Stegostoma tigrinum: one gene and its partners. The protein of the gene in region 1 binds, or shares a complex with, the protein of each later gene. Links are inferred from orthologs where the notes say so. Each region holds a gene or a part of one and is shown on either strand. Other genes may lie near its edges. The genes, in order: tmem67, tmem107l, cc2d2a and ahi1.

The links.
Region 2: tmem67 (region 1) and tmem107l share a complex: the UniProt entries of both Homo sapiens proteins name them as parts of the tectonic-like complex. The link is inferred for Stegostoma tigrinum from reciprocal best matches to the Homo sapiens genes TMEM67 and TMEM107.
Region 3: tmem67 (region 1) and cc2d2a share a complex: the UniProt entries of both Homo sapiens proteins name them as parts of the tectonic-like complex. The link is inferred for Stegostoma tigrinum from reciprocal best matches to the Homo sapiens genes TMEM67 and CC2D2A.
Region 4: tmem67 (region 1) and ahi1 share a complex: the UniProt entries of both Homo sapiens proteins name them as parts of the tectonic-like complex. The link is inferred for Stegostoma tigrinum from reciprocal best matches to the Homo sapiens genes TMEM67 and AHI1.

Annotation. Positions count from the first base shown.
Region 1 is NC_081358.1:90,652,748-90,660,323, forward strand, and holds the start of tmem67 (meckelin), read left to right. Parts: upstream 1-4,574; 5' UTR 4,575-4,684; intron 4,685-4,910; exon of another isoform or gene 4,911-5,136; 5' UTR 5,137-5,236; coding exon 5,237-5,420; intron 5,421-7,576. Other genes in the region: rbm12bb (RNA binding motif protein 12Bb), read right to left, coding at 1-1,740. UniProt on the Homo sapiens protein: Required for ciliary structure and function. Part of the tectonic-like complex which is required for tissue-specific ciliogenesis and may regulate ciliary membrane composition.
Region 2 is NC_081385.1:39,295,279-39,302,188, reverse strand, and holds the start of tmem107l (transmembrane protein 107 like), read right to left. Parts: upstream 3,021-6,910; 5' UTR 2,421-3,020; intron 1,797-2,420; exon of another isoform or gene 1,702-1,796; intron 1-1,701. UniProt on the Homo sapiens protein: Plays a role in cilia formation and embryonic patterning. Requires for normal Sonic hedgehog (Shh) signaling in the neural tube and acts in combination with GLI2 and GLI3 to pattern ventral and intermediate neuronal cell types.
Region 3 is NC_081354.1:82,080,152-82,087,729, reverse strand, and holds the start of cc2d2a (coiled-coil and C2 domain-containing protein 2A), read right to left. Parts: upstream 3,008-7,578; 5' UTR 2,858-3,007; intron 964-2,857; 5' UTR 813-963; coding exon 799-812; intron 1-798. UniProt on the Homo sapiens protein: Component of the tectonic-like complex, a complex localized at the transition zone of primary cilia and acting as a barrier that prevents diffusion of transmembrane proteins between the cilia and plasma membranes.
Region 4 is NC_081357.1:43,904,910-43,912,273, forward strand, and holds the start of ahi1 (jouberin), read right to left. Parts: upstream 3,007-7,364; 5' UTR 2,904-3,006; exon of another isoform or gene 2,806-2,903; intron 1-2,805. UniProt on the Homo sapiens protein: Involved in vesicle trafficking and required for ciliogenesis, formation of primary non-motile cilium, and recruitment of RAB8A to the basal body of primary cilium.

The DNA of each region.
Region 1 (7,576 bases):
TGAACCAAAGTAGTCACTTTCCTTTTGACCTTTGGCTCTCTCATGCATAGAAGCGATACCAAGTTCAAACACCTCTTCTGAAGTAACCACCTTTAGCACAACTTCTCTTCCTCCAAGCTTTTTACCATATAATCGCTCAGCACTTAGTACTTCATCTTCAGACTTGAACTTGACCAGAGCCTCCCCTAGTCCAATGCCATTACTATCAACAAGTATTCGGATCCCATGTTCAGCAACACCAAATCCCTCAAAGAATTTATGGATCTCAGCTTTGGAGATATCAAATGGAAGATTACGAGCATAAATATACAATCTTGGGGAATGCGCTCCTTCTCTAGACGGGTACATTTTTTCTTCAATTCTATAGGCAGATTTTTCTCTTGATCTTTGCTTCTTAATAGTGTCCATCAACTCTATCATAGCTTTTTTAGTGAGCGGATATAGATAAACTGCACGGTTTGCAATGTATGTCTTATGGTATCTTAAAGCTTTACGCATCTCAGCATCATTTCTAAACTTGACAAAGCATTCCTTAGTATTTTTACCATGAGGATCTTCTACAAGGTAAATCTGGTCATCTGTTATGTTTAGTTCATTAAAGAAATTTCGTACATCTTTTTTTGAAATACTATATGGTGTATTTTTTAACTGCATCCAATAGTCTTGATCTTGAGGGGAATAAGATCGAGACCTGTGCCTTCGAGGTGACCTTGATCGAGTTTGAGAATGGAAATGTTTATTTTCACGATGAGGGGAACGACCTCGATTGTGTCGGTTTAGATCCAAATGTCTATCATCTACAAACAAATCAGATCCCCCAGAAATCCAGTCTAGTTCTGTAGCTCGATACACCTCGACAAACCTTTGCCCCATGTATTTTTTGTGACGCTTTAGTCCCTCAGCTGCATCCCAAGAACTGGCAAACCGTACAAAACACTCTCCATTATTCAGACCTCGGTAATCCTTTTGTAGACGAACTGCTTCCACTTGTAAACCATGGAAGAATTCTCTCACTTGCAGCTCTCCTGCAGAATATGGCATGCCTTGCAGATGCAAATAAACATCATCAGTATGAAAAGCTCCTTGCTCTCTCCTTTGATTATAAGCTGAATCAGCAAAACGATCCATTGACCCAGAGCCATTAAATTTATCCAAACTATCACTCATTGCTCCAGAGGTCATTCCAAATAATGCAGACATTGAGGAACTAGGAGCAACTGCAATGTTCTGTGGAGAAGATAAGGCCATTGTCGACATATTGCCACTCATCATTGGATCCATACGAGTACCATAGCTGTTCATGTCAGAACTTCCAATTTCACCAGGATGAAAGGCATCCCTATTAATTTCATGTTGCATTGCTGCAACTAAGTTTTCAGCTAGTGTAGAAGACATACTACCTAAGCCACCTGTGCCAGAATTGCTGAATCCCGACCTTCCGTAACTGGATGTTTCTCCACTGGGACGTGCATATCTCTTACGACTCATCTCAATAGTACTCTGCATTTCGTTTCTGCTACTTAATGTTAGCTTTGTTCTACTCCCTTTAAGAAATTCACCCGATCTCATCAAAGCAAGCCGTGCATCTTCATCTGTAGCAAATACAATGAATGCCTCTCCCAGTTCACCACCAATTATATGCACCCCTCCATCAGGAATGGTTAATCTAGAGAAGAAGTGACGAATATCCAAGGTTCCTGCAGAAACTGGGAGCCCCTGCAAGCGGATGACCACAGCCATGCTGAACTCTATCAATAGAAAATGTTACCTGCAGGCAAGAAAGGCACACAGGATGACGTCAAATTATGTCAAAAAAGGTTCTGGATACTGCATTAACTTCCAAATATAATATTAATAAAAGTCAGAAATGTTAATTTTAAGAATAAAACAGATTCTTCTTACTCTGCACAAATTTGTTTAAACGTTGACCTTCAATTCAAAAAGTATAACCAAATCTCAAAAGCTCCCAACTCTCAAACCACCAAAAACACTAAAGTTGTCTGTGAAAATTCTGAAGATATCTTCCAAGCCACAACAGTTCTCCACAAGATCTGATGATGACTGAAATTGTCTTTAATATGAAAAATGCCTCAATTTTAAATCAGCCACAGCACCTCAGTGGAATTCATCTCGAAATTACATGATAGATCTAAGTTCTAGTAATACTTCAAAACTGCTGTCCAAGTAAGTGCTGCTAATTAGTACTGTATCATTCCTTCTCCAAACAAGGAATGTAAAAAAGGACCTAGGGTTAAAGTTCAACTGAAGTTAGCTAAAAACAAAATACAGTCTATTTTGCAAACTGCAACCATGGCTCTTTATATAAAGAGTCCATCACATCTTTTCTCCCACATGGTAATCCACCCGTCAAATAACTTCACTCCAGGCTTGGACAATTCCTATTTATTGTATTCTCAAAAAAAATACAAACAAACCACCTCAAACTAGTAACTCAAATTTTCTTTTCCCTTCACGTATTGCTCTGAACTCTGCAAACGACTCCAGATATAAAGCAAATGCAAAATCCTAAAATCCACATTGGGGCATTTTCAAAATGTTGTAAATGACTCCAGGCAAACTGAAAAATCCACTACTGCACATAATTCAGCAGTCCACTTGAGAAAGAAGTTACTTGATCTAAAAATATGTTTCTTTCAGGTATATCACAACATTAATGTTTTCGCGAAGATCTCGGGTGCTGTAGACTTGATTCTGTAGCAACTCAAAGGCAGGTTCAGCTAACAATATAGCGTATGCATTTAATACAACTAGAATTCTTCTTTTTTTTCAAATCTTGATTCTTTTGAAGTGATAGTCCTTACGTTTATGTTTTTGTTCCATAAAGGAGATTGAAAGTGATTGTTCTGGAGTTGCACTTTGTATACACAGACTCTCACCATCTGTTCAGAACACAGATTCCTGGTCTAAATACTAGTTAAAACTATGGGCAATAGGAATAATGCACATAATTCGGTAATAAAGCAAAATTAAAGCAACAGTCGCAAAAAACCGAATATGCACTTTGAGAAGTTTAGATTACTCCAATGCGTTGGGCTAAACAGCAGTGAACAAATATAGCAACTCAACTATTGTAAAAATAGAAAGATCAGATTCAAAATTTTGTTGCCAACTGTCGTAATTCATTTACAAGCAGAAAAAAAATCTAATATGCTACACAGGACAAAGTTAAATACTAACTGTGCATTATAAAATATATCTATTAGTTCAATAAACACAGTTTTTTCTTAACTGCTGCTTCACAATGAGATGTAAACCTACACTAAAACACAGAAATTGTGATGCACAGGAAATGCAAGTGCTCTGCAGCTTGGTGTGCACATTAACAAATTTTAACCCATGCATGGCTACTTCAGAAATGATACATTTATTACAAGTTTATTTTCACTTTCCCTTTGGTTTGAAAGTCACTATTCGTTACTGAATCGTGACATTTGCAATAAAGAAACTCAAAAGTGTCAAATGGTTATGCGACAATAATAAAGGTTTATAGTTTATCCCAGTTAGACAATTTTCAGTCACCTACCATTTGTATGACACTAACCTGTAAAAAGGTTTCTTTTAAGCAGATGCTTGAACAGATTCGTTAAAATCAACTCTACAGACTGCAAAACAAAAGAACAAGATTAAACCTGTAATAAATCCATTTCAAATCAAAATAATGGTGGGTTTATCGAGTTATAAATTTCAAGCACCTGCCATTGAACAAACTTTATCTAATTAAAAACATTTCAATAAAGTTATTCCACACCGAAAATTCATTTCATTGACTTGTGAAAATTTTGCTATAACAAAAAAATCCATTTACAGCAGGCCACGACCTTGATTAGAGAGCATTACTTTCCCACTATAACAGAAATAGCAAGTGCTGAAAATTGATAAACGGCTTCAAGAATTAAATTCTTCTTTCCTAGAAACGATGATAAATCTAAAAATAATTCAATAATTCTGAGAAACCGGCCAGTGTTATCAAACAATGGTTAATGCCAAACAACTCAAGGCAAATGATCAAATGTCTGATGAATGATTAAGTCAAAGATTCAAGTTTTGATTAGCATTTTGAACAGCATGAAATGGTTGAGAGGCTCAGCAGGGAATTCAACAGCTTAGTGCCTGCAAATCAGTGGATTCAAATCAAGGAAGTGTATCAAAAACGCTTCAATGCTTTTCCAGATCAAAATGACGGGCTATATCCATGTCGATCATTAGTGATTAAGACAATTAAGACCGATATATAATACAGCCTTTTCCTTTGAAAAGCCGTTTCTGATTCAGAAATGCTTATTTGCCTCAGAAAACTACATTCAAAAATCACTATAGCGGGTTTGGTAATAGAGCCAAATAGACAAGCAGGGTGCTTGACAACGTTATCGGGAACTGTTCAAACTCATACCATACTGAATGAAATAAATCCGTTTCCCAAGCAGAATCGTTTAAAGTGTTTTGTTTCCCAACCCCACCCCCCAGTATTTTTAAGTCTTCGTTTGTTTAAATCGCAGGTCGTCGAGATAAAACGGTCAGACAATTCAGGTCAAAGGTGGAACAGGCGTAGGTAACCTCTGCAAGGATTCAATTTATTTAGTACGCAGCCCACTCCACGTGAACAAAAATGTTCGTGCGGGCGGGAGCTGCAAGCCAAAGGGAAAAAAACCGAAGCGGCAATAAGGTAAGTGGCTGGGCCTGCACTTTTACTACATCCACTCTCCAAACTCCCCCGCCCCAGTTCGGACTCGCTCCTCTCCAGCAAAGGCCCGGTTTTTCCACCCGACCCGGAGAAGGGAAAGACGCCCGCCGCCTCAGCATACGAACTGCTGCTTCCCAACACCCACCCCTTTGGAAAGACAGAAAAAGCCAGGTTAAAGGGAGGCAGTAGCCCGTCTACACCAACTAACCCGCCGCCGCCGTCGTCGCCTGGTCTCTTAGCCACCGACACGATGGCGCTTCCGCCGCCTCCGGAGAGAGAAGTCCTGACAGTTCTGTATCCAAATATAATAAATCAAAGCCCCATTGCTTGGGCAAACTCAAAGTCGATTGAGGTTCAGAACTCTACAGTATGGTTTGCCGATTTAAGTCTTGTTTTTATCTAGACCAGTGATCAAACGTTGTCTTTTTTTCCAGTGGAGTTATTTTGAAGCGGGGAGCTGTCAGGACCTGCTGCCTGCCCCGGTGTATTTTGGGAGAGCCGGAGGGCGGGCAGAAGAGACGGTTGGCTGTGGCAATGGGAATCGGGGAGGCGTTCCAGTGCTGGCTACTGCTGTTTCTCTTACAGCTACCGTTTACCCAGACCGTTATCCTTTCCATGCCTTTCCAAACCGCGAAACAATGCACCAAGCGAGAGTATTTTGACATTTCTCGTATGGTGTGCAGGCCGTGTGGCGCCGACCAGCAGTCAAGTAGCGATGGTGGGTAAAACTTGTCAGATGGTTTTTGAGGGCAGGGGTTGGTTGGTGTTTAGCGACAAGAAATAACTCCGCATGAAAAACGTTTGCTACGTAGCAGCAAGTAGGCTAGGCGGAGAACGATCGGTTTTTACTGGTTGAGGAGCCTACCCGACGACACAAAAAAATGACCGAAGGGAAAGGCCGTTCAGCCCGTCATGGGCATACTATCTCATTAATTAAGCACCATTATTTGACTCCAGTTGCCTACTTTTTCTCACCTGGATGTTTTGGAGATTAAATTAGGACACTAGCAAAAGATGGTACTCTTCCAAAAAAAAACGACAGTTGATCATTTTTAAATTTTGAGTTTGATGGTGTTAGATATCAGGTTGACAGCCGAGCACTCCGTCACGTATTTAACAAAGGTTTAGTAGTTAACTGCTCTTGTTGCTGCAATCTGACCTTGCATCCTCAGATCAGGTGGCCCAATATACACAGTGATCTTTTCCATTTTGGATGCAACTGCCAAATAGTAGGGCCTCCCAATGTTCCGGGGAGGGAGTGTGGGTTGGGCAGTGGTGTTAGCTGACATTTTCAGGTAGCCAGTTGTGGCAGCAATGATCAAATGTCCTTTCCCCGTCACGATTCCCTTTCCCCTCATATTACCCCACATGCCATTGATTTGTGACAATTTTCTATCCTTGCCTGGTTAGGGTCAAGTGGGAAAATGTTTGAGAAGCACTATCATCTCTAATGCTTAAACACTTCCCTCATATGTGTATTTAATTCGTTTAGCAATGTCACAATGAAGGTGTGCATATGAATGAATGCTTCTTTAGCCTCAAAAGGCAAAATGGCTGGTGTCTTCATTTGATTTTTCATAACTGTCTTGAGGTGCCCATTTATTTTTCTTCTGCACTGGAGTCATGCACTGAGACCATGAGATGTAGGAGCAGAATCACAGACTTGTTATAGTACAGAAGGAGGCCATTTAGCTCATCATGCATACACTGTTTCTATTACCTGTTGCCAATCCCTGCTTTATTCCCACATCCCTGTATACCATTTTTATGCAAGTAATCATACAATATCGTCTTAAACACCTCAATTGAACCTGCCTACAATGCATTTCCAGGTAGTTCATTCCATATGTAAACTATCTGATAAAATTTTCTCATGATCATTGCCTAGTTTGTGTATCACTTTAAATCTATGCCTTCTCATTCCTTTTTCTTTTACAAGTGGGAACAGCAACTCCCGACTTGCTCTATGCAGCCTACTCATGATTTTGAAAACCTCTAGCAATTTCCTCCAGCCACCTTCTCTCGAAGGAGAACACTTCAACTTCTTGAAATATGCCCTCGTCACTGAAGTCTCTCATTCCTGGAACCTTGTTTGTAAATCAGTTCTCAACTCTGCTTTCTCTGTGTGCCATAACTGTTCAGCTATGGTTGAACAAATGTTGTACAAGTTCAACATCACCTCCGTACATCTTGTATTCTGTGCCCCTGTTAATGAAGCCAAGAGGGCTGTATGTTTTATTAACTGCTCTCTTCACTTGTTCTGCCACCTTCAATGATCTGTGCACATAAACACTCAGGTCTTTCTGCTGCTATCTCTTTTAGAATTGTAAGCCCTCTTTCATGTTGTTGTTGTTGTTCAATGTTCTTCTGACCAAAGTGCATCACCTCAAACTTCTCTGTATTGAACATTGTTTGCCACGTATCTGACACTCTACAAATGTGTCATAGAAACATAGTAGATATAAGCAGGAGGAGGCCATTCAGCTCTTGAGCCTGCTGTGCCATTCTTCACAATCGTGGCTGATCATCCAACACAATAGTCTAATCCTGCTTTCTGCCTTTGATATCATTTGTTCCAAGTGCTATGTCTAGTCGCCTCTTGAATGCATTCAGTGTCTTGGCTCCAACTACTAGAATTTCCCTGGCTCACCATTCTTTGGGTGAAGAAATTTCTCCTCTTCTCTGCCCTAAATAGTTTTCCCTGAACCTTTATCCTGCAACCCTGGTTCTGGACACACCCACCATCGGGAACATCCTACATGCATCTAGCCTGCCCACTCCAGTTAGAATTTTATAAGTCTCTGAGATCACCACCCCCCCCCCCCCCCCCCCCCACCCCGCATTCATCTGAACTCTAGCAGAAACAATTCCAAC
Region 2 (6,910 bases), on another chromosome or scaffold:
GCACTGGAGGAGGCCCAGGATGGACATGTCGTCTAAGGAGTTGGGGGAGGTGTGGGGGGGGGGGGGGGGGGGGGGGGGGGGGTTGGTGAAATGGTTCACGACTGGGAGGTGTAGTTATTTGTTGTGAGCTGAGCATAAGTGTTCCACAAAGCAGTCCCCAAGCCTCCATTTGGTTTCCCCGATGTAGAGGCAGCCAATACGGGAACAGCAGATACAGTATATCACATTAAACAGATGTTCACCTGTTTCTGTTAATGTGTAAAGTCTTCTTAGGGCCTAGGATGGGCGAAGAGGGGGAGGTATAGCAGCAGGTGCAGCACTTGCTTTGGTTGCAGGGAAAAGTGCCGGGGGCGGTGGGGATGGAGGGGAGTGTGGAGCAGACAAGGGAATCACTGAGAGAGTGGTCCCTCCGGAAAGCACATCCTGGTGTGGAGGGAAAAATACCTTTGGTCGTAGAGTTAGATTGCAAATGGTGAAGATGTCGGAGGATGATGCGTTGGATTTGGAGGTTGTTGGGGTGGGACGTGACGACGAGGGGGATTATGTTTTGGCTATTATTGCGATGCGGGTATGAGAGATGAGTTGCAGGAAATGCGGGAGACACGGTCAAGAGCATTTTCAATCACTGTGGAGGGGAAGTTGCGGTTTTTGAAAAAAAGAGGACATCTGGAATGTTCAGGACTGAAATGTCTCATCTCAGGTGCAGATGTGGCAGAGGTGAACGAATTGGGAATAGGGGATGGCCTTTTTACAGGAAGGTGGATGAGAGGAGGAATATTCTAGGTAGTTGTGGGAGTCGGTAGGCTTAAAATGGATATCGATTTCCAGGTGGATGCCAGAGATGGAGATAGAGGTCCAGGATGGAGCGAGACGTGTCAGAGATTGTCCAGGTAAACTTAAGGTTGGGATGGAAGGTGTTAGTGAAGCAGATGAGCTATTCAAGCTCCTTGTGGGAACACGAGGTGGCACTGAAAGTCAATGTAACGGAGGAAGACATGGGGGATAGGGCCAGCGTAGCTTTGGAAGAGGGATTGTTCCACGTACCCTGCAAAGAGGCAGGCATAGCTTGGGCCCATGCGGGTACCCATGGCCACCCCCTTTGTCTGAAGGAAGTGGGAGGAATTAAAGAAGAAGCTGTCGAGGGTGAAGACGAGTTCGGATAAGCGGTTGAGGGCGTCAGCGGAGGGGCACTGATCAGGTGTGCAGAACAGGAAGAAGTGGAGGGCTTTTAGGCCATCAGCATGGGGAATGCAGGTGTGTAGGGACTGGATGTCCAGAGTAAAAATGAGGTATTGGGGACCAGGGAATTGGAAGTTCAGGAGGAGGTGAAGAGCATGGCTGGTGTCACAGACATAGGAGGGAGTTCCTGGACCAAGGGGGAGAAAATGGAATCCAGATAAGTGGAGATAAGTTTGGTTGTTTTTGATCCAAGTTTCTACCACTTAAACTGAACGCTAAATTCTGCCATATTATCAGGGCGATCACTGTTTCCTTGGGAAGTTTTACCCAAATCATTCATTATACACATTACCAGACTTAAAACAGCCTAATACCTGGTTAGATTCACAACATTTTATTCTAGGATACACCGTATGAATTTTTCCTCATTGTCACCCTCTGCTAATTTGATTTTCACAAACCAGAAGAAGATTAATTTACCCACAATTAGAGGGATCCCTAATTTATGAACATCCAACTTACAAACATTCATATTTTAAAAAAGTGACCCCATAAAGGGGTGTAATTTTAAAGATCTGACATATGGAGGGTTGTAAATTATCTGAAGTCACTCAGGGGATATAAAACAATTAACACTTGCAGTAATCCTTCAGCAACCATATCTCTGATGAAGGGTCTAGGCCCGAAATGTCAGCTTTTGTGCTCCTGAGATGCTGCTTGGCCTGCTTTATTATCTTGGATTCTCCAGCATCTGCAGTTCCCATTATCTCTGATAACATCGACCACTCTATTCACAGCTAACAGTATTGCAACAACCTTACTGCCTCCACTGCCCAAAATCCTCCAAAACCAAACTCCTAACTAACATGAACTACTCCTGACTTAACACATTCCTAACCAGCCCTGAGATTCATGGTACACCTTCAACCACCTGACACTCTAGCCCGTGTCCCATTAATATCCGGCCTGCTTCACCTATCTGCCACCCCACTCGTTCCAACTCATACAGTATCCTACCTTACTCATTTGACACCCTACCCCTCCTCTATCTGACATCCTATTCCCTCACCAACCTGGCCCCATCTCTTCTTCACTCATTCTTGAACACACTCATCACCTGTGAATCTACCTTGTCTCCCGCTAACCTTACTACGGCCGCCTACACCCATCCATTTATCTTATCTACCTTTTCTCCGCGATTTTTCAATGCAGCTTTCAGATATGTAAACAAACTAACTTACTAAGATACGATAGTTACTGCCACAAATAGGAGGCAGGTCTAGCTTCTACCGATGATCCGAGAGGCGGAGGGTTCACCTGGATCGAAGTTCTACTACGCATTGCGGAAGCGTTGGGCATGGGAAGTCAGAAACAGTAATACGGGCCGCGGACGCTGGACAGGATAGTCATTGGCAGAGGAAACACTCAATGCTGCTGCTGTTCTCGGAAGAGCCGAGCCTATCGCCGCTGGTGCCTTAAACAAAATGGCGGCAGGTTGCCAAGGTAACCGCGGCTCTTCACACCGCAAAGCCAAAACAGGAGCATAAATAACGACATCATCCTCATTTCCGAATCTCCCTATCCCGCTGGGCAGATCCCCAACACCCCATCTCACCGCCCAGATTCCCAATTCTCCTAATCCTCTGCCAAGTCTCTCTCCGCCTCCGCTTCAGAAACGACGGCCAGCGACTTAACTCTACGCGCTTGCGCACTGGGGTTTCTCCCGCTTTCTAGTCCGCGTGACTATGTTAGAGATAATGGGAACTGCAGATGCTGGAGAATTCCAAGATAATAAAATGTGAGGCTGGATGAACACAGCAGGCCAAGCAGCATCTCAGGAGCACAAAAGCTGACGTTTCGGGCCTAGACCCTTCATCAGAGAGGGGGATGGGGAGAGGGAACTGGAATAAATAGGGAGAGAGGGGGAGGCGGACCGAAGATGGAGAGTAAAGAAGATAGGTGGAGAGAGTATAGGTGGGGAGGTAGGGAGGGGATAGGTCAGTCCAGGGAAGACGGACAGGTCAAGGAGGTGGGATGAGGTTAGTAGGTAGCTGGGGGTGCGGCTTGGGGCTGGAGGAAGGGATGGGTGAGAGGAAGAACCGGTTAGGGAGGCAGATCCAGGGAAGACAGACAGGTCAAGGAGGTGGTTCCCTCTCCCCATCCCCCTCTCTGACGAAGGGTCTAGGCCCGAAACGTCAGCTTTTGTGCTCCTGAGATGCTGCTTGGCCTGCTGTGTTCATCCAGCCTCACATTTTATTATCTCACGTGACTAAGTTGTCTGCTTCGCTTTGCATTCTGGGAAGATACCCACGACATTGACTACTTCAATAATTGAGGCGGAATTGGCCAATACTTCTTGAGCTGTGGAATGACTGGAACTATACCGAAAAGTTAAGATAAACCCCTTAATTCCATTTGCTGTTGTGGAAGTTAACAAAATTTAGGATCGGAACTCGCACAGCGCATAACAGAGTCATAGATTCACCACAATTTTGGAACAAATTACTGCAGATGATGGCAACTGTACTGAAAACAAAAAAATGCGAAAAATCACAGTGGAACAAAACAGAAGTTGCTGGAAAAGCTCAGCAAGCCTGGCAGCATTGTGAAGGAAACATCAGAGTTAACGTTTCAGGTCTGGTGACCCTTCCTCAGAACTGAGCAAGCTCATGTTTAGAGTCTAGGTGAGTTTTCATCATAGCCTTGAAGAGTCATCTAGACTCAAAAAATAGCCTTGCTCTCTCCATGGATGTTGCGCAACACATTGTGAGTCCAGCATTTTTTTTTGTTTGCAGTCATTGATTCAACAGTTCTGAAGAAGGGTCAGCAGACTCGAAACATTGACTCTGTTTTCTTTCCACAGATGATGCCAGACCTGTTGAGTTTCTCCAGAAAATTCTGTTTTTGTCACAGATCCACTTTATTATTCCAGCATAAAATAAACCAATGGCCTCTCAAAGCATTTCACTTATTTCCATTACTATGCACATTATGTGTAGGCAAAGACATTCTTCCTTTTCAATTACTATTCCAAATCCTTAAAAACATTGATTAAACTTGCAGCCACATTCTCAGGCAGCTCATTCCAGATCCCAGTCACTCATTGCATGTAACAGTGTCTCCTCCTGAATGCAAAACCTCATTTGCCAAAATTGCCTTTAAACGTTGCCCTCAAGTTCTATATCTTTCCATCAATAGGATAATCTTCTCCCTGTCTACTTTGTCTAGATTCCCCCAGGAATTTGAATGCCTCTACCAAATCTTCGCTTAAACCTCTCCAAGAAAGAAAAGTCCAGACATCTCCAATCTCTCTCTATAATTGAAGAAGAACCCTTTAAATGATTCATGTGAAACTTTTGTGCACTTCCTCAAATGCCTTTACAGCCTAATGTATGACTCCCATAACTGACTTAGATAAAAGGGACAAAGTCATGGTTTCTAAATTTACTGATGGCACAAAGGTATACAGGAAAGTAAGTAAGTCGGGTATAGGAAGTAAGAAAGCTATGAAGGAATATAGATAGGTTAAGTGAGTGGGAAAATGTCTGGTAAGTGGCAGATAATGTGGGAAATGATTAATTTCAGCAGGAAGAATAAAAAAAAGTATATTAACTAAATTGTGAGAGATCACAGAGTCCTGAGCAACAAAGGGATATGAGTGCTCCAATACATAGGATCGTATAATCCCTACAGTGCAGAGGCAGGCCATCAAGTTCACAGGGACCCTTTGAAGAGAATCCCACCCAGACCCACACTCCCCCACCTCATCCTGGCAACCCTGCTTTTCCCAAGGCTAGTTCACTTAGCTTGCACATCCCTGGACGCTATGGGCAATTTAGCATGCCAATCCACCTAAACTACACAACTTTGGACTTCAGGAGGAAACTGAAGTACCTGGAGGAAGCTCATGTAGACATGGGGAAAATGTGCAAACTCAAATAGACAGTCACCCTAGGCAACTGATTATCATGATTAGCAAAAGGTTAGCACACAACTACAGCAAATAATTAGGAACACTCATAGAATGTTATTATTTATTCCAAGGAAAATTGAGTACAAAAGTAAAGAGGTTATTCTTCAGTTATACAAGACATTGGTGACATCTGGAGTTCTGTTTACATTATTAATCTCCCCATTTGAGGAAGGATATAAGTGTGTTCAAAGAGGTTCAGAGATTGCTTATCAGATTGATAGGTGGATTGAGTGAGTTGTCTCACAAGGAAAAGAGGGCAGTTGATTCTTCTATCCGATGGAGTTCAGAAGAGAGTAAGTTTAGACTTACTTGATTTAAATACAAGGCAATAGGAGAAGAAAGAATAAAGAAGCACAAAATCACTTTGGGTGGTTGGGTGTCAATATTATTGCAGTAAAAATAACACTTCGCAAATATGGTTTCAGAGATAGTAGGAACTGCCGACGCTGGAGAATCTGAGGTAACAAATTGTAGAGCTGGATGAACACAGCAGGTCAAGCAGCATCAGAGGAGCAGGAAAGCATGTTCTACTATTTTAATGTGATCTCTTTCTTCTGTAAAATCCTCTGTGTTGCTGATAGCCAAGCTTGAGGAGACTTACATACAATCACATGGAGTTACAACTAGAGCACTGAAGTGCTAATCTCCATTGCTTTATGAGAGCAACATGTGTAGTTTTGGAGTGTCACTCATTCTATTGGCCCTCTGTATCACTGCATAGATGATTGCTCCTTGCATACTGATGGTTGGTGCTGCAGCCCTCAAGTACTCCAGGATAAATTAAATTAGATGTTCTGGTTCTGAAAACGAGTAAGAGGTCATTGCAGCAAAGTTGCTGGGTATAGTTAACGAAGCATTTTGCACTGAAGTAGGAATCTGTGAACTATTAGGACTAAAGACATGTTTTGAGAAAGAATCTTCAACAATCTAGCCTTAGTACCTTTTGCGCTGGTATATTTTGAGGAAGAGCTTGCTCTGCAACAACCTCAACAAGATGTCTTTCTTTCTCACTCACACACTCTCTCGATCCCCCAATCAGAGTGTCTCTCACACACTCCACCTCTGTCACACACACATTTTCACTGATTCTCTCTCTCTTATAGCACATAGTCACAATCACACAGCCTCTTTCTTCAACACCCCTCACCAACTCACACACAGTCTCCTTTATTTTCACACTCTCTCACTCATGCAATATCTCTATTTTACTTACACACAACAACATGCTATCTTTCAAACACTCATGCTTTCTTTCCTGCTGCAAACCTCACTTTCACCCAGCTTACCACCTTTTGACTACCTCCATTAAGGGACTGGCATCTGCATAGGAAGAAGAGAACCTTATCTTCCTCCTGATTTGCTCCATAACCCAGAATATTTTTCCCTCACAACCACAATTTAGGCTAATATCCCCTCTCCTCCCCCTCAAACAGAAGTTGAATTGTCACTGCTCCCAGTTTGCAGTCATCAGGCTAGATTAAGCTACTAATGTTTGCCTAGCTCACTGTTTTCCCAATTAGAGGTCATTTTCTCTCCCAAATGCACGGCTGGTAGGCTCAATGCCAAACCCATCAGCATCAAATGGGGGAAAAGAAGCAGCCTCTGATTGAACAAGCATCTGCTTTCAGGTTCCTCTGCCTGTACTTCCTGCATATAGAACACCAATGGTTGGTTGATTAAGACCGTTTGGGCAGACTGTATTGTTGTCCATACATCTGCTGTTGAACAAGCCTATTCATTATCCTCCCCACAGTTTAT
Region 3 (7,578 bases), on another chromosome or scaffold:
CAAACAGCATAAGCTACAGCCTGATCCACTTTCTGGAATAATCGAGATCCAAACAGCAAATATTTTGTCACAAAATGCTCTTGCCTTTCTTCCTTTCAAAATTGATATTTCATTTCAGGTGTACTTCTTTATTGACTTAACCCAGTTCAGTTCCTCTGCATCCCCGTCCATCATAAAGCATTCATTTTTATATTATTTTTTGGCTTTAAAAAGCGAAAAATAAATCTTACCCTTGTTAGCTATATTTCTGTACATTAATTGAATTTATAGCTGATCCATTCAGTACCAATGTTTGAACTTACTATTTCTATCAATGTAACATTTTATATCATATGGTCCCCAGCCTAAGGCAATGTGATCAGAAGCAAAAGTGATTAATTTGTCTTCTTTGAACCATGCTAATACCATTTGTCTTGTCTAGTTTTGAATGAGGAGAATGTTATGTCTGTTTTCCTTTTACATGGCTCACTGTGTTACAGAAGCTGCAGCAACAGGAATACAGCAGATAAATGAGAACCTACAATATGTATATCCATGCTGAGCGAACATCCTAACAATTACACCATGAGTACTACATAAGCTACAGTGGCTCAAGAAGGCAATTTACTGCAACCTTTTCAAGAGATGAGTGATATTTCTGGCCTATCACATCATCTAAATGAATAGAAGTCCAATCCACCTAGGTAACACCATTATAAGTACTGTCAGATGGAATATTTGAAACCCTTGCACTCTACTACAATTAATCCCCATTGAGAAAATGACAGAGAAAATTTAAAGTAAAACTATTTCACTCACTCTGCAGAAGCCATTTTCTTTAATTAATTCAGTTACGAAATGCCTTTGATTTTCATACAGTCTTCGTTTACTGCACAAAAACTGGGTAAAGCCGAAATCCACTGATAGTATTTTACATGCATCCTGCAGTGAAGGTAATGGATTCCATTATGTAGCTTCTAGTGCCTGTTATAAAAGATGATGTAAATTAAGTCACACATACTGTATTAATATAATCAAATAAATATCTTACAGTGGACAACCTATCATTGAATATAAACAAAAATACATATTCATCAAGCACAGTAATATTGCAAAAAATTACTTTCTGCTAGAATTTTGCATTTATTATGCTGTACTCTGTTCTTGAAGTTGTGAAACTGCTTTAATGATCAATATTTTGCCATTCCAAACATAGCATTCTCAATATCAAAACAATAACAGAATTACTAGATTAATAGTAATCTATGTTCAATATTCAGCCAATTGAGGAATAAGACTATCAGAGGTTGAAAATTGAATTATTACCATACAAGTATTATAGGATCAATCTAAATTTTTCAAAGTTTACTGCAATACCATTCAAACTTGTAATCTTAAGAAATGATTTCTATCAGCAAATTCTATAAATCACACGGAATCAAAGCAGAATACCAGAGTAGAAATAGCCAAGTTTGCTGAAAGAAAGGAGAAATTTTGTCAAAGCTTTTTGAAATGTGCTCTTCAAGACTACCAAAAATAAAACAAACTTCAAATGGAACGCTAATTTACACTGCAAGAGAAACACGGTGCTTACAGGCTGGTTAGTGGACAGGTATTTTCTTACATAGGGGCATGCTCCCTATAGGCAGAAGGAATTTGTCAAGACTTTGAACCTTTTCCATGAAACAAAACTTTGGGTTTCACTATTCCTTATTGCATTCCTGATGATGCATAACAGCCAAAAATAATTTTGTTTTTTCTGAATTTATATGAAAGCTTTAGGGTAACTACTTCCCTGGTATATTCTCATGGTCAAAATCTGAACTAATCCGAGTTCACTTGCCAGCCAACTGGCACCCTGTTTCCTACGCAGTAAAAACTATTGTTTTCTTTGAAATTTGATGTTCTTGCGTACTGTCCTGATGAGTGCAAAATTAAAAGTTTCAACAGCATGTCTTTTTATTCATCAGTACTCAAGTTACCAACTACCGAACGATGACAGCCAGATCAACAGAATAGGTATTACAAACAAGCTCACTCTGGGAAAGTATGAGTCACTTATTTTGGGGTAAGTGTGTTTTTATATAAGTAGATGAAAAATATTGCAAATATACAAAAGATTTCAGAAGTTCAATAAGTTAGTATATTACTGGTTAAAAATTAAACTCGCAAGGAAGCTTAACCAGATGATGCAGGGTACTTGACAATCTAGAAGTATTGCTTTTAAATCTGGTGCACATTAAAGTTTAAAATGATCAGGATGAGAATGTTATAGAACACAGAACATTACAGCACAGTACAGGCCCTTCGGCCCTCGATGTTGTGCCGACCTGTCATACCGATCTCAAACCCATCTAACCGGCACTATTCCATGTACGTCTATATGCTTATCCAATGACGACTTAAATGTACCTAAAGTTGGCGAATGTTGAATTAGGAAGGAACACTTATACGTGTTAACAAACTTGAAGAAAATAAAACTAAGGCTTGACACAGAACTACAAAATAACAACGTGCATTTAGTTTAATAAAATAATCCAAGGTGCTGTGCACGAGCATGAGGTATTTCAAGGAAGATATCGGCACACGCAGCCTGAAAGCAAATGCAGGATGTAATATGGACAATGGGTACAGAAATAAGGACAGAATTAACCATCAAAGTTGAAGATTCGAAAGAAGACATATGCACGCAAACATGAAACAGTCAAAATCGGTAGCTCTACACTTTTTATCACAGTCAAAATAGGAACAGCTTCCCATAAAACAAAGGTGCTGCAACAATTGACACAATTTTTAAAAATCTGGATTTATGGAGGGAAAGCTCTAAAAAGAAGCCATGGTGAATCAGGATAGATCGCAATTCAATGAATGCACTTACATTGTACGTATTTCTGATTTACATTCTCCTCCAACAATGAGACCCTGGATCTGTAATGACGCCGCTGGCGTCCAGGAAACCACTCGCTTAGTAACCACTTATTAACCGGATTCGAGAGCCCCAGCGCGGAGCTGGCTCCTCGGGGCGGGCAGAAACACGGTGCCGGAGCCCCAGCGCGGAGCTGACGTCTCAAGGGGCGGGCAGAAACACGGAGCCGGGAGCCCCAGCGCGGAGCTGACGTCTCCGGGTTGTGCTCAAGAAGGGGGCCCGATATCTCCACTGCGGAGCTGGAACCTAAAAGCCCCACAGCGGAGCTGGGACTTGGAGAACGCGAATTTGCTGGAGTGGTTCCCTGTCAATCATGCAGCAATGTTAGATTAATTTTCGGCTACGGTGGCCTGGTTGGGGAAAAGGAAAATCTCAACTTCGTTTCCGGTTGCTTGTTTCACACACCAGTTCACTCTACCAGTTGTACGTACATTTTGAAAGAATTATACGGTCATATAAGTCGGCAACAAACTAATTTTGCAGTTTATGATATGAAAAATTATTATGAAAGTAATGGTTACATTTGAAAAGAATGAATGAGCTAAAGAGTGGAATGAAATTTAGTACAGGCTAGATTGAAATATTGGATAGAAATTGAACGTGTTGGTGGAAACTCAGCAGCTGTGGAGAGAGAAACAGAGTTACCGTTTTGCAACCCTTTGCTTCTTCAGCATCTTTATTTGGAAAGCATGTCATTGGGACTTGAAAGGTTATCTATTTTCCTCTACAGGAATCCTGTCAGACCTGCAGAGTTTCTCCAGTCCTTTCTGATTTTATTTTGGGTCTCCAGCATCCACAATATTTTGCTTTTGTATCGGGTGTGGCAAGGAGAAATAGCCAATGCACACTTTTTGCATTATGCTGCAAAAGTTGTGCCTGAAGCTGAAAGAGGCCCCAGAATTTTAGCCAATTTACGCTCAACATGTCCATCCTGAGCAAAAATCAAAGGTCATTTTTGAAATGCTTAGGATGTTGAACAGCACAGCATAAATGGTTGAACATATGCCAAAGGAAACTGTAATGTACATAAGTCTGATCTGCTGTGAGTTTTCATTGCTAAGCAACAAATGTTAATGTTAAGCATAGAAAGGGGTTTCTGAAAGATAATTTTTAAAATGTCATAAAATAATTTAGAGCTTTTAAAAGTAAAATTGTTTAAAATAAACAGTTGGGAAACAATGGATACAATTTCAAATTAGCAAAAAAAAACTTTAGGATCCACACACGGAATCCTTCTTCAGGCAGCATAGTTAATACTTAGAATGGACTTTCAAGCAGTTTATTGCAAATGTAAACTCTGGAATCACTGTTGAACCAACAGCATGCAAAATGGAATGATATAATAAAGCAAAGAATTGCAGATATTGGAAATCTGAAGCCAAAAATTTGCAGGTTTACCAGCATCAGTTAATTCTGAAGAGTCACTGGACCCAAAATGTTAACTCTGCTTTCTCTCCACAGATGCTGTCAAACCGGCAGAGTTCCTTCAGCAACTTCTGTTTCTGTTTCAGATTACCAGCATCCACAGTTCTTTGTTCTAGTCATGAAAAGATGCAATGGAAGACACCTGAAAACTTAGGTCAATTGACACATCATTAAATGCCTTTGACATAATTCCTCACATTTACTGTATGGTAGCTGAGTGTATCTACATCAGTAATAAGATGAGACTCATTTTTGCTCACATATTGGCTGGCTTTGGTGGTTCCCGCATTTTGTATTGTGCATTTTTGGCCAGCTATGATATCAGACATCTACCAAACAGACATGATTTTCTGGAGGAAACAACACGACCCTCCCTCTCTGGGATAGTAGGAACTGCTGGTGCTGGAGAATCTGAGATAACAAGGTGTAGAACTGGTTGAACACAGCAGCATTAGACAAGCAGGAAAGATGACGTTTCAGGTCTGGACCCTTCTTCAGAAATTTCTGAAGGACTGGAGAAACTCTACAGGCCTGACAGGATTCCTGGAGAGAAAAATAGATAACCTTTCACGTCCCATGACATGCTTTCCAAATAAAGATGCTGAAGAAGCCATGGGATGCACTCTGTTTCTCTCCCCACAGCTGCTGAGTTTCCACCAACATTTTCAATTTCTATCCAATATTTCAATCCAGCCTGTATTAAATTTCATTCCACTCTTTAGCTCATTCATACATTTCAAATGTAACCATTACTTGCGTGCTACCTTTTCATATCATAAACTGCAAAATCAGTTTGCATTCAGAATAGAATTGACTGTTAAGTATTTGAATGTTGACACAAGAGAACAAATTTGTTTCCATTTTTACATTGACATGTACCAAGTACATGATTCTCCTTATGACTTAAAAATATTGTTTCTCATAGGCTATGGTATGAGTCAAAGCAATCCACATACAGTCATGTGTGCTCAATTACTCAGTTAATGTTAAGTATTTAAATTTTTTGGTTGTGCCCTGCTTCAGACAAAACAGAAGTAACCTTTCCTTATGGTTATTGAGTATCTCAAAACAGGAAAGGTTCCTCTTTCCGGGATGCTTATGTCTCTAACACCTCATTTCCAAAATACTTTGGTATGTTTCATCATCAACATGTTAGATTATGATAATCCTCATAATTCCTTTGTTTTTGACGACACTGCCAAGTTTGAAAAGTGTTTAAAGCCAAGTAGGACTGTGCACACACATTTTGACTCAAGTATTAGAAACCACAAGTGCAAAATTGGACCAAAATTCCTGCTGTATCACTACATTCCCACAAATATGACACAACAAGACTTCTGCCCACGAAAATGTCCCAGTCCTGACTCCTTACCAAATCCTGGGGTTAGGCCCTATATAAATAATTTGTTTGACCAGTTTGCATCATTTACTCTTTTGGGTAATTCTCAAAAAACATCACAAAGTTTTTTTTTTAAACTGTTTCAATGTGTCAGAATTTTGCAACAATAACCCGTCTCTGGCTATCATTAAGGACACTATAAAGTTTTATGTTAAGCATGCCATTTTCCGGTATAATTCTGACATCTACATGTGATATAAATTAGGCTTTCTAACTCTGGTAGTGCACGTTCCTGGATGAGTCACAGAAACCCACAATTATTACAGCATAGAATGAGGCTGTTCATGCCTGCACTGATTCTCTTACCTTGTGTCAATCTCCTTTATCCCATATCCTTTGTCCCCGCTTTTTCCTCATATTCCTGCATACCATTTCTATCAACACAACTATTTAATGTCCTCTTGACGATATCAATTGAACCTGCCTCCATCACGTGCATTCCATACCCTAACTAATTGTTGTTAGAAAATGTTTCTTTTTCTCACATCACTATAGCCTCTTTTGTGTATCATTTTAAATCTATGACAGCAAGCTCTTTCACTTTTCAAGTGGGACAGCTTCTACCTGTCCATTCTAACCAGCCAACTCATAATTTTGAAAAATTACATCAAATTTCCTCCCAGACCTCTCTCTAAGGAGAACAGTCACAACTTCTTCAATTTACCCCAATGACAAAGGTTCACATCCCTGGAGCTAGGTTATGTTTCACAGCATGATCTTGGCTTCAAAATAAAATCCCGCTGTACCAGTAAAAGCAAAGTACTACCGAATTCCGGAACTGTGAAATAAAATCAAAAACTCTGGAGAAACTCAGCAGGTCCAGATGTTTCTGTGGAGAAAAACAAAGTGAGCATTTGAAGTTCAAAATGACAACAGCAGAAGTGAAGGGGTTTAAATTTTCAGTCGGATCTGTAACTCGGGTGGTGGCTGGGTTTGTTGGTTGGTTCACCCACATGACAGATTTCCATGCAACAGTTTTGCCTCTCTTCTAGGTGACATCATCAGTGTTGTCCGGTCTTCAGTGAAGCGCTGTTGTTCTGTTCCATTCTGAATTTATATAGCCTGGTCTGTTATGATGAGTAGTTCTGTTTCTGGTTTTGCTCCATAGTGGTATGTAGATGATGGTAGCAGTAGTTGAAAACCAGCCTTCCAGGAATTCTCGTGCTTGTCTTTGTTTCTCTTGTTCTGGTACTATTACGTTGTCCCAGTTAAATTGATGTCCTTCTTTGAATGAGTGAATGGAAACGAGGGGGAAATGTTCATGCCATTTTGCTGCCATTTGGTGTTTGTGTGCCCTGGTGATTTCTATTCATTCTGGCAAAGATGGACATTAGTTTAAATGGGACAAAGTAACAGTACTAGGACAAGCGAAACAAGGACAAGCACAAGAATTCCTGGGAGTCTGGTTTTCAACCCCTGGTACAATAAACAACCATGTTGCAATAGACTCTATTTACATAGTATGGAGTAAAACTGGAAACAGAACTCCTACCATAACAGACCGTATAAATTCAGAGCAGGACAGAACAACAACGCTTCAACAGAGACTAAACAGCACTGACAGTGTCACCCAGAAGGCGAACGAAACATTTGCATGGAAACAAGTCAGCTTAGTGGACCAACCAAAACTCCAACTGAAGGGGCCTGGAAAATTATGTTTTTTTTTATTTTGTTGATAAAGGGGGAAGAGGAACAAATGGAACAGACAGTGAGTGTGCAAATCTTTCAGTCTTATCTTGGAGGCTATGGGATAAAGCACAAAGATACGTTCACTGATTTAATTTGATTTATTGTAGTGACGTGTCCCTACGTGAAGTGAAAAGCTTTGTTTTGCAAGCAGTACAGACAG
Region 4 (7,364 bases), on another chromosome or scaffold:
ACACCTTGAGCTCCTTAGCTCTAGCCAAATTGACTGGGTCCTTGAACCTTTCAGAAATCCTCTTTTTCCATCACTGCAATGTCCTGCTTAACAAATACTTCTACCCTCCTTTCTTTCTTTTTCTATCTTACCCTTCCTTGAGCCAGGTCTCAGTTATCACCTCATTATATTTCCACCCAAACCACGTGTATTCTATCCTGTGTACTTGGATATATTCATGTTAACCGTGTTTAGGACTTCATTTCATTTTTCCTTATTCCAAATTCATGATTAATTTGGCATGCACTGTATTAGTGCTACTAGTACCCTATGAATCCTGGTATTCTCTTCTACTATGCTCCCTTGGTACTCACAGCCCTGCCAAGTTAGTTTAAGGCTCTCCCAAAAGCACCAGAAAAACACCCCCAAGGAAGTCAGTCCTAGATCTGCTCAGCTGCAATCAGTCCAGCTTGTACAGTTGCTATGTCCTCCACAGCAAGTCCCTGTGTCCCGGGAATCTAAAGCCATCTTTCCTGCACCATTTATCTAATTACACATACGCATTATCCTCCTTTTTCTGTATTCACTCGTATATGGGTAATCAAAGTAATCCAGAAAAAACTGCAGTTGAGGACCCAGCTCCATAAATTTTGTTTGAAGGGCCAATCCTCCTTCCTATCCAAGTTACTGGCACCACAGACCACAACTTCCGGGTGTTCGCCCTCCCTCAGAATAATACCCTGAAGCTGCTGTGTGACATCTTTGACCCTGGCATCAGGAGGTAATTTACCATCCTGTAGTCACGTTGACAGCAATAGAAATGCCCATCTATTACCACACATAACAAATTGTCTCTCATTATCACTCCTGTTTTCTTCCTCCACTCATGTACAGTTGAGCCACATACAGTGCTAGAAGCTTGGCTCTGACTACATCTCCTTGAGGACCAGCACCCATCAGTTTCCAAAACAGAAAACCGATTTGTGGGCAGTACCCCAGGAGATTGTCTGCCTTCTCCTCTTGGACGGTCTGGTGGTTGTCCATTCCTGTTATTCATGTAAACTGCAGTTTGCCAACCTCTCTAAATGTGTGAGCCATGTAGCCCTCACACTTGAGAACATACCAATGTCTAGCCATTACTCAAGCTCTGAATCTTAAGTTTGAGTTTCTGCAGCTGGGAGACTTGCTGCACACGTGGTCATCTAAGGCAGTAGTAGGGTTCAGGACTTCCAAGGTGACACATTTCACTTCACTGAACGAAGCAGCCATGGCTTAAACACACTTACTTTGATTTACTTGCTAAATTAATTATTTCATCTCAAAGTTACTCCCCTGATGTTTAATTTATTTTCCTGCCCTTATCCTATTTTTATATACTTGTACTACTTTGTTGTATTGGCCCTGCCTTTCACATATCCCTGGTATTTCTCAGTTAATCCCATAAAAATAGCCATTCTGATTTTCCTAATTCGACTTGGTGGCTCAGTGCTTAGTACTGCAGCCTCACAGTGCCAGGGGACCCAAGTTCGATTCCAACCTCGGGTAACTGCCTGTGTGGAGTTTGCACGCTCTCCCTATGTTTGCATGGGTTTCCTCCAGGTGCTCCGGTTTCCTCCCACAGTCCAAAGATGTGCAGGCCAGGTGGATTGGCCATGCTAAATTGCCGATGGTGTTCAGGGGCGTGTGGGTTATAGGGGGATGGGTCTGGGTGGGATATATCAAGGGGCGGTGTGGACTTGTTGGACCAAAGGGCCTGTTTCCACACCGTAGGGAATCTAATTTTAAAAAAAATTAGCATGAACTTATTCCCTCTATGGTGCCCGTAAACAATGAGAAATATACATACAAATAGATTTCAAATTCGGTCTACTTGTATGATTGAAGATTGGGTGTTACTATACATGTGTCCGCTGAAGCCCTTACTTGATTGGTGTTTGGGGAAGGTTCCAGTTTTTATTGTCGACTTTGTCTCGTTCATCTCCAGTTATGTTCTTCCTTAATTTTTGACAGATCTCTTTACCACTGCTTTAAAATTCCAGAAGACAATAATTTCTGAATTACGTCTAGGAATAAGACTGAAGACAGTGATCCTGGAAAGACCATGATCCCAGACAGTAATCACTGACAGAACACAAATCCAACAGGTGATCCAGGGAGAACAAGATCCCAGACAGACGATTCTGGAGAGAACATGATCCCATAGAGAACAAGATCCTACAGTGTGGTCTCAGGGAAAACAAGATCTCAGAGAATGATCCCTCGGAGAGCACCGTTCCAGAAACAGGTCCCAGGGAGAACAGGATCCCAGTGAAGAACACAATCTCAGAGAGAACATGATTCCAGAAACAGATTCCAGAGACAAATCCCAAGGACAACGCAATCCCAAAGATTGATCCTGGGGAGAACACAATCTCAGAGTGAACACAATCCCTGCCAGTGTTCCCTGACAGAACAAGACTGCAAACAGCAATCTCAAGGAGAACAGGACAATTCAGTGATCCCAGATAGAACACAATCCCAGATAGCAATCTCAGGGAAAACACGATACTAGAGAGTGACCCCAAGGAGAACACAATCTCAAACGGTGATCCTGGAGAGAACATGGTGCCAGAGAATGATCCCAGGGAGAACAAGATCCCAGGCAGTGATCCGGGAGGGAACACGATCACAGACAGTGATCCAAGGGAGAACAAGTGTGTCAGAGGAAGGGGGATAGATAGGAGGGAGAGAGGGGGGCAGATGGGGGTTAGAGGGTGAAATGGTGCGGGAGTGGTCGGAGAAGTGGGGTGGTAGAGGCGAGGCGTAATGGCCCCAAATTAAACTCACCCCCACTGTTTGAGACGTGGCCTAGCAACGGCAGGACGGCCTTACACCGAGACGGAAAGCACCAATGGGGGAGACGCGGGTTATCGCCGGTTACTGACCTGACTGTAGGAAGTGACGCTACAACCGGTTCGGCATCAGCGGCCCGCGGTGTCCGTTCCCAGCGTCACTACTCCTCCTCCCACTGTTGCCAGGGGGCGCGGCACCAGCTCCGTCACAATCATCTCGCCTCACCTCCTCTAATCACGTGCTCAAGTTGCGCCCGGACCGGCCGCCAAAGGCAATCACATTCAACCAACTGGGAAATAAACCTCAGGTTAGGGTAAAGCCCGAGTTAGCGAGGGGTCAGTTCATTTGGGAAAGCCCCCCAGTTCGGGGAGGTCTCAGTTTGCGGCCACATTCTTGTTAAAGCGTCTTTGATGACAGTTTTAAAATCCTGCACTTTTTCCTTGAATAGTTCACTGGTCTTACTGCTACCCGGAAATGTTGCTTTCAATAGAGGATGGGAACAAACCTTTCTAGTTGTGTCTTTCAGTTTGTGAACTGTTCTATTTTCCATCACCGTTTCTTGTTGCATGAGTTTTTCAGATGTTGTAAGGAATGATGAATGTTTACCACATTTGGCTTTTTAATCGTTTTATTGTTGGTTGCTGACTGTAGATTTAACTGCATGGTATTTGTAAATAAAAGTTTTATTGCATGTTCATAATAAAACATTCACTGGAACCATTGAATGTTTTTGCTGCACAGAACTAGAGTATTTTAAGAAGTTTCTGCTTTAATTTCTGATTTCTAGCACTTGTTCTATTTTGCTTTTGTCACCAAATAGATTACACTGCGACTCCTTTGAGAGGACTGCAAGAACTGCACGTGCTGTAGTCAGAGACAACAGTGTGGAGCTGGATGAACACAGCAGGCCAGGCAGCATTAGAGGAGCAGGAAAGCTAACTTTTTGGGTCAGGACCCTTCTTCAGAAATGGGGGAGGGTGAAAGGAGCTCAGAAATAAATAGAGGAGCGTTGGGGATGGTGACAGGTAAGTGTAAGCAGGCAGTGGCAGGGATTGGTCAGTGAGGTGGGAGGAATGGATATGTGGGAGAGAAGATGGACTGGTTGTGTCAAGTCATGGAGGCTGGGATGAGTGGGAACATTGGTCATGGGATGAGGCAGGTCTGGGGAGATTTTAAAATTGATTAAGTCCACATTTAGGCCATGGGCTGTAGGCTCTCGAGGCAGAATACGAGGTACTGCTCCTCCAGTTTGCAGGTGGTGTCATTGCGACACTGGAGGAGGCCCAGGATGGACATGTCACCCTGGCAGTGGGAGTTAAAATGGTTGGAGACTGAAGGATGTAGACCTGAAATGTCAGTTTTCCTGCTCCTCTGATGCTGCTTGGCCTGCTGTGTTCATCCAGCTCTACACCTTGTTATCGGAAACCAGAAGGTGTTGTCATTTGTTGCAAAACCAGGGGGTTCCCTACCGATTGCTGTCCTGGTGGAATCACACTCTGCAGTTGACAAAACGGAAGGAACAGAGCAGGCAGGTCAGCAGAATGAAGCTCTTGCATCAGATGTAAGGGTAAAAGGAAAGAAGTATGAAGGAACCTGTGAGTTCCTCATTCAAACCAGACACCAACAGGTATGATGGCTTTGACAAATCTTACATTTGAAAAATCATATGCATTGACTGTCTACATCTCCTCCCTAGAGGAATCACTGCTGTACACCAAGAAGCCAGCTTATGCTTGCTATCGCAATAATGCAGTGGTCACTTTGCTACTTATTCTTCAGGAACTTTCGCAGTTAACCAGGTGATGGATTTAAGACCGTACAACATAGATGAATACATTTTGAAGGTTTCAGCATCTATTTAACAGCCACTGATTAGTCTGTTGAACCTGGGTTTCCGTGAAGTTTGTCAGTTTCTCCTTAGGGGAAGCCAAGCAATTCTCATGTGAAATCTGGCAAAACTCATAGTCTGGATGAATATTGCTAAATGCTACTGTGGAAGAGCATTTCACCCCCAAAATATCTGTGCTAAAAAAAAACAGAGTAAGGAAAGTAGTCTCATACCTCATTAATACCATTCTGAAACAGTTCAAAATGTGCTTAGAAATATCCATTCTCTTAACATATTTATTAGCCCAAATCCTCCAATCTGGATTGGCTGCTTCATGTGATCAGTCAAGTAACACATCTGTGTCCTTTGCAATCAGTCCAAGTTCAACTTTCAGATTCTTTTCAAATTGATGTTACTGCTATGAAATAAGGTGATTGCATCTCACATAATTTATGTGCTTCAAACCTGCCTACCATTTCTACGTACCAAACACTTGTGCTCCTCCTTTTCCAGATTTTCCATAAAAACTAAACTATGAATATAGAAGAGGCATGAACTGCATTATTAGAAGCAATTCAGTCTGGCACCGGTGCAGCTCCCTTTTAGGGCCCCCAAATGTGTGGGAGACAGTTATAACTGGGGCACTGTGCACTGAACATTGTAGAAGTGTTAACTCTTCGTGGTCTAGTTTGAATGCACCTTCGTTGGTTGCTGAATGTCGCCTCACATAATTTGTGTCTTTTTGATTCCTGGAGCTTTACAGCCGGAGATAATTTGACGTTGAGTCAGCATTTTGGGAGTCTCTGGTGATTTGAAAGTGCATTGGGTGCCTTTATTTGTGTGGAGCATATACGGTTAATGTAATGACCTTTTAAGAAACCATTAGTGGTTGTGTAAAGCCAAAATTTGCACAATGTTGAGTCAAAATTTTGATTCGTAAAGTTTGGTAAAAATTTAACTTTTTAACTTTTAACTTTCGACTCAACCTTCAGGTGACTGTGCCAACTCCACACAGACATTCTCCCTGTAGCTGTGTGGGTTTCCTCCCACAGTCCAAAGACGTGCAGGTCAGGTGGATTGGCCATGCTAAATTGCCTGTAGTGTTCAGGGGTGTGTAAATTAGGTGGATTAGACATGGGGAAATGTAGAGTCACCGGGAAATGGTAGGTGGATGAGTCTGGTTGGGATGTTCTTGTGACTAAACCAGTAGGGGAAATTGAAATATGTTAGGGCAATTAGTGTATGTGGAAAAAACAACAAGCGAAGACACACGTTAAGCAGGAGTCTGTGGATAGAAAATTGAAAAAAAAACACAAATGAAGAACCTGAATCTGGAATATACTGAACTGTAGAGCAAATTATGTAAATAGAATAACTAACTAAGAATGTAGAGGATATTCTGGTCACCTCAACCAGGTGGCACCACTTGGTTGTTCTTTTAGACAATAGACAATAGGTGCTGGAGTAGCCATTCGGCCCTTCGAGCCAGCACCACCATTCATTATGATCATGGCTGATCATCCACAATCAGTATCCTTATCCCCATAACCCTTGTTTCCACTGGACAGCACATCGTGTGTGTGTGTGTACGCGTGTACGCGTGCACACAACCCTTGGTGTATTGTTTCTACATGTATATATTTTAAGGTAGGTCCCCAAAGGGAACTGCGATCAATTTGACGATACACCCCATCGTTCTATTCTTTGTATCGATGCTAGTTATTTTCATTGTAGCTTTAATCTTCTAGTGTAGGTGTTTATTGTACATTCTTGTGTGGCTGTCGCTGATGTGTGTCTGCATCTGTAATTCTAACATATGCTGTCATATATCATTGGGGTGGATTATATAGGATATGCTGAAAGACTAAAATTGTTGATGATATTCAACAAGCTGCATGACCTTGGATGAGTGCCACAGACAGCACAATTAAAAAAAACTTGTTTTCTGAATGAGCCAGCTGTTTTGTCTGTTGTATCTGTTGTTTTCTGTCCTGATTGTTTTGTAATACTGTATGAGAGTGTGAAAGTTTTGTTCCATGGCTGATGGACTTAACATAAGACCGGCTTCGTAAATGGTGCCAGGAATGAACCTAAGCCTGTAGACCAGACATTGATCGAGGGGTCTCCAGAGGGCAGAGGAACTTGAGACTTTTTGCTTTTTTTCTTCGCTTCCATTTATTATCACTGCTATAATCATTTACTACTACTATTATAATAATTTATTATTTAATAAACATTTGTATTTAAGCAAATTGCTGTTGTTGAGCCTTCTCTTAACCTGAATCTGAAAGAATCACTTAGGCACATGCCGCGATCCAGCACATCTACTCTGTATTTTCCTGTTTAATAGCTTGAAAACTTCAATCAGATCAACCCTTAACCATCTAAATTCTGGAGAAGACAGGTATAAATTGTATAATCATTCCTGGTAAATAAACTCCTGACGTCCAGGTATCATTCTTGTAAACCTACATTGTACTACCTCCAAGGCCAACATATCCTTCATAAAGTGTAATGCCCAGGTCCACTCACACCTCTCCAACTGAGGCCTAAGCAGAGTTTGTATAACTGCAACATAACTTCTACATCCTTCTACTGTACCCCTCAAGACAATAAAGGCCAGCATTCCTTTAGCTTTCTTGATTAATTTTTGCACCAGTTTGTGACATTATAAAAATCAATGCATCTGAACCCGTCAAGTCTCTTTAACTATACTTAACTTCTT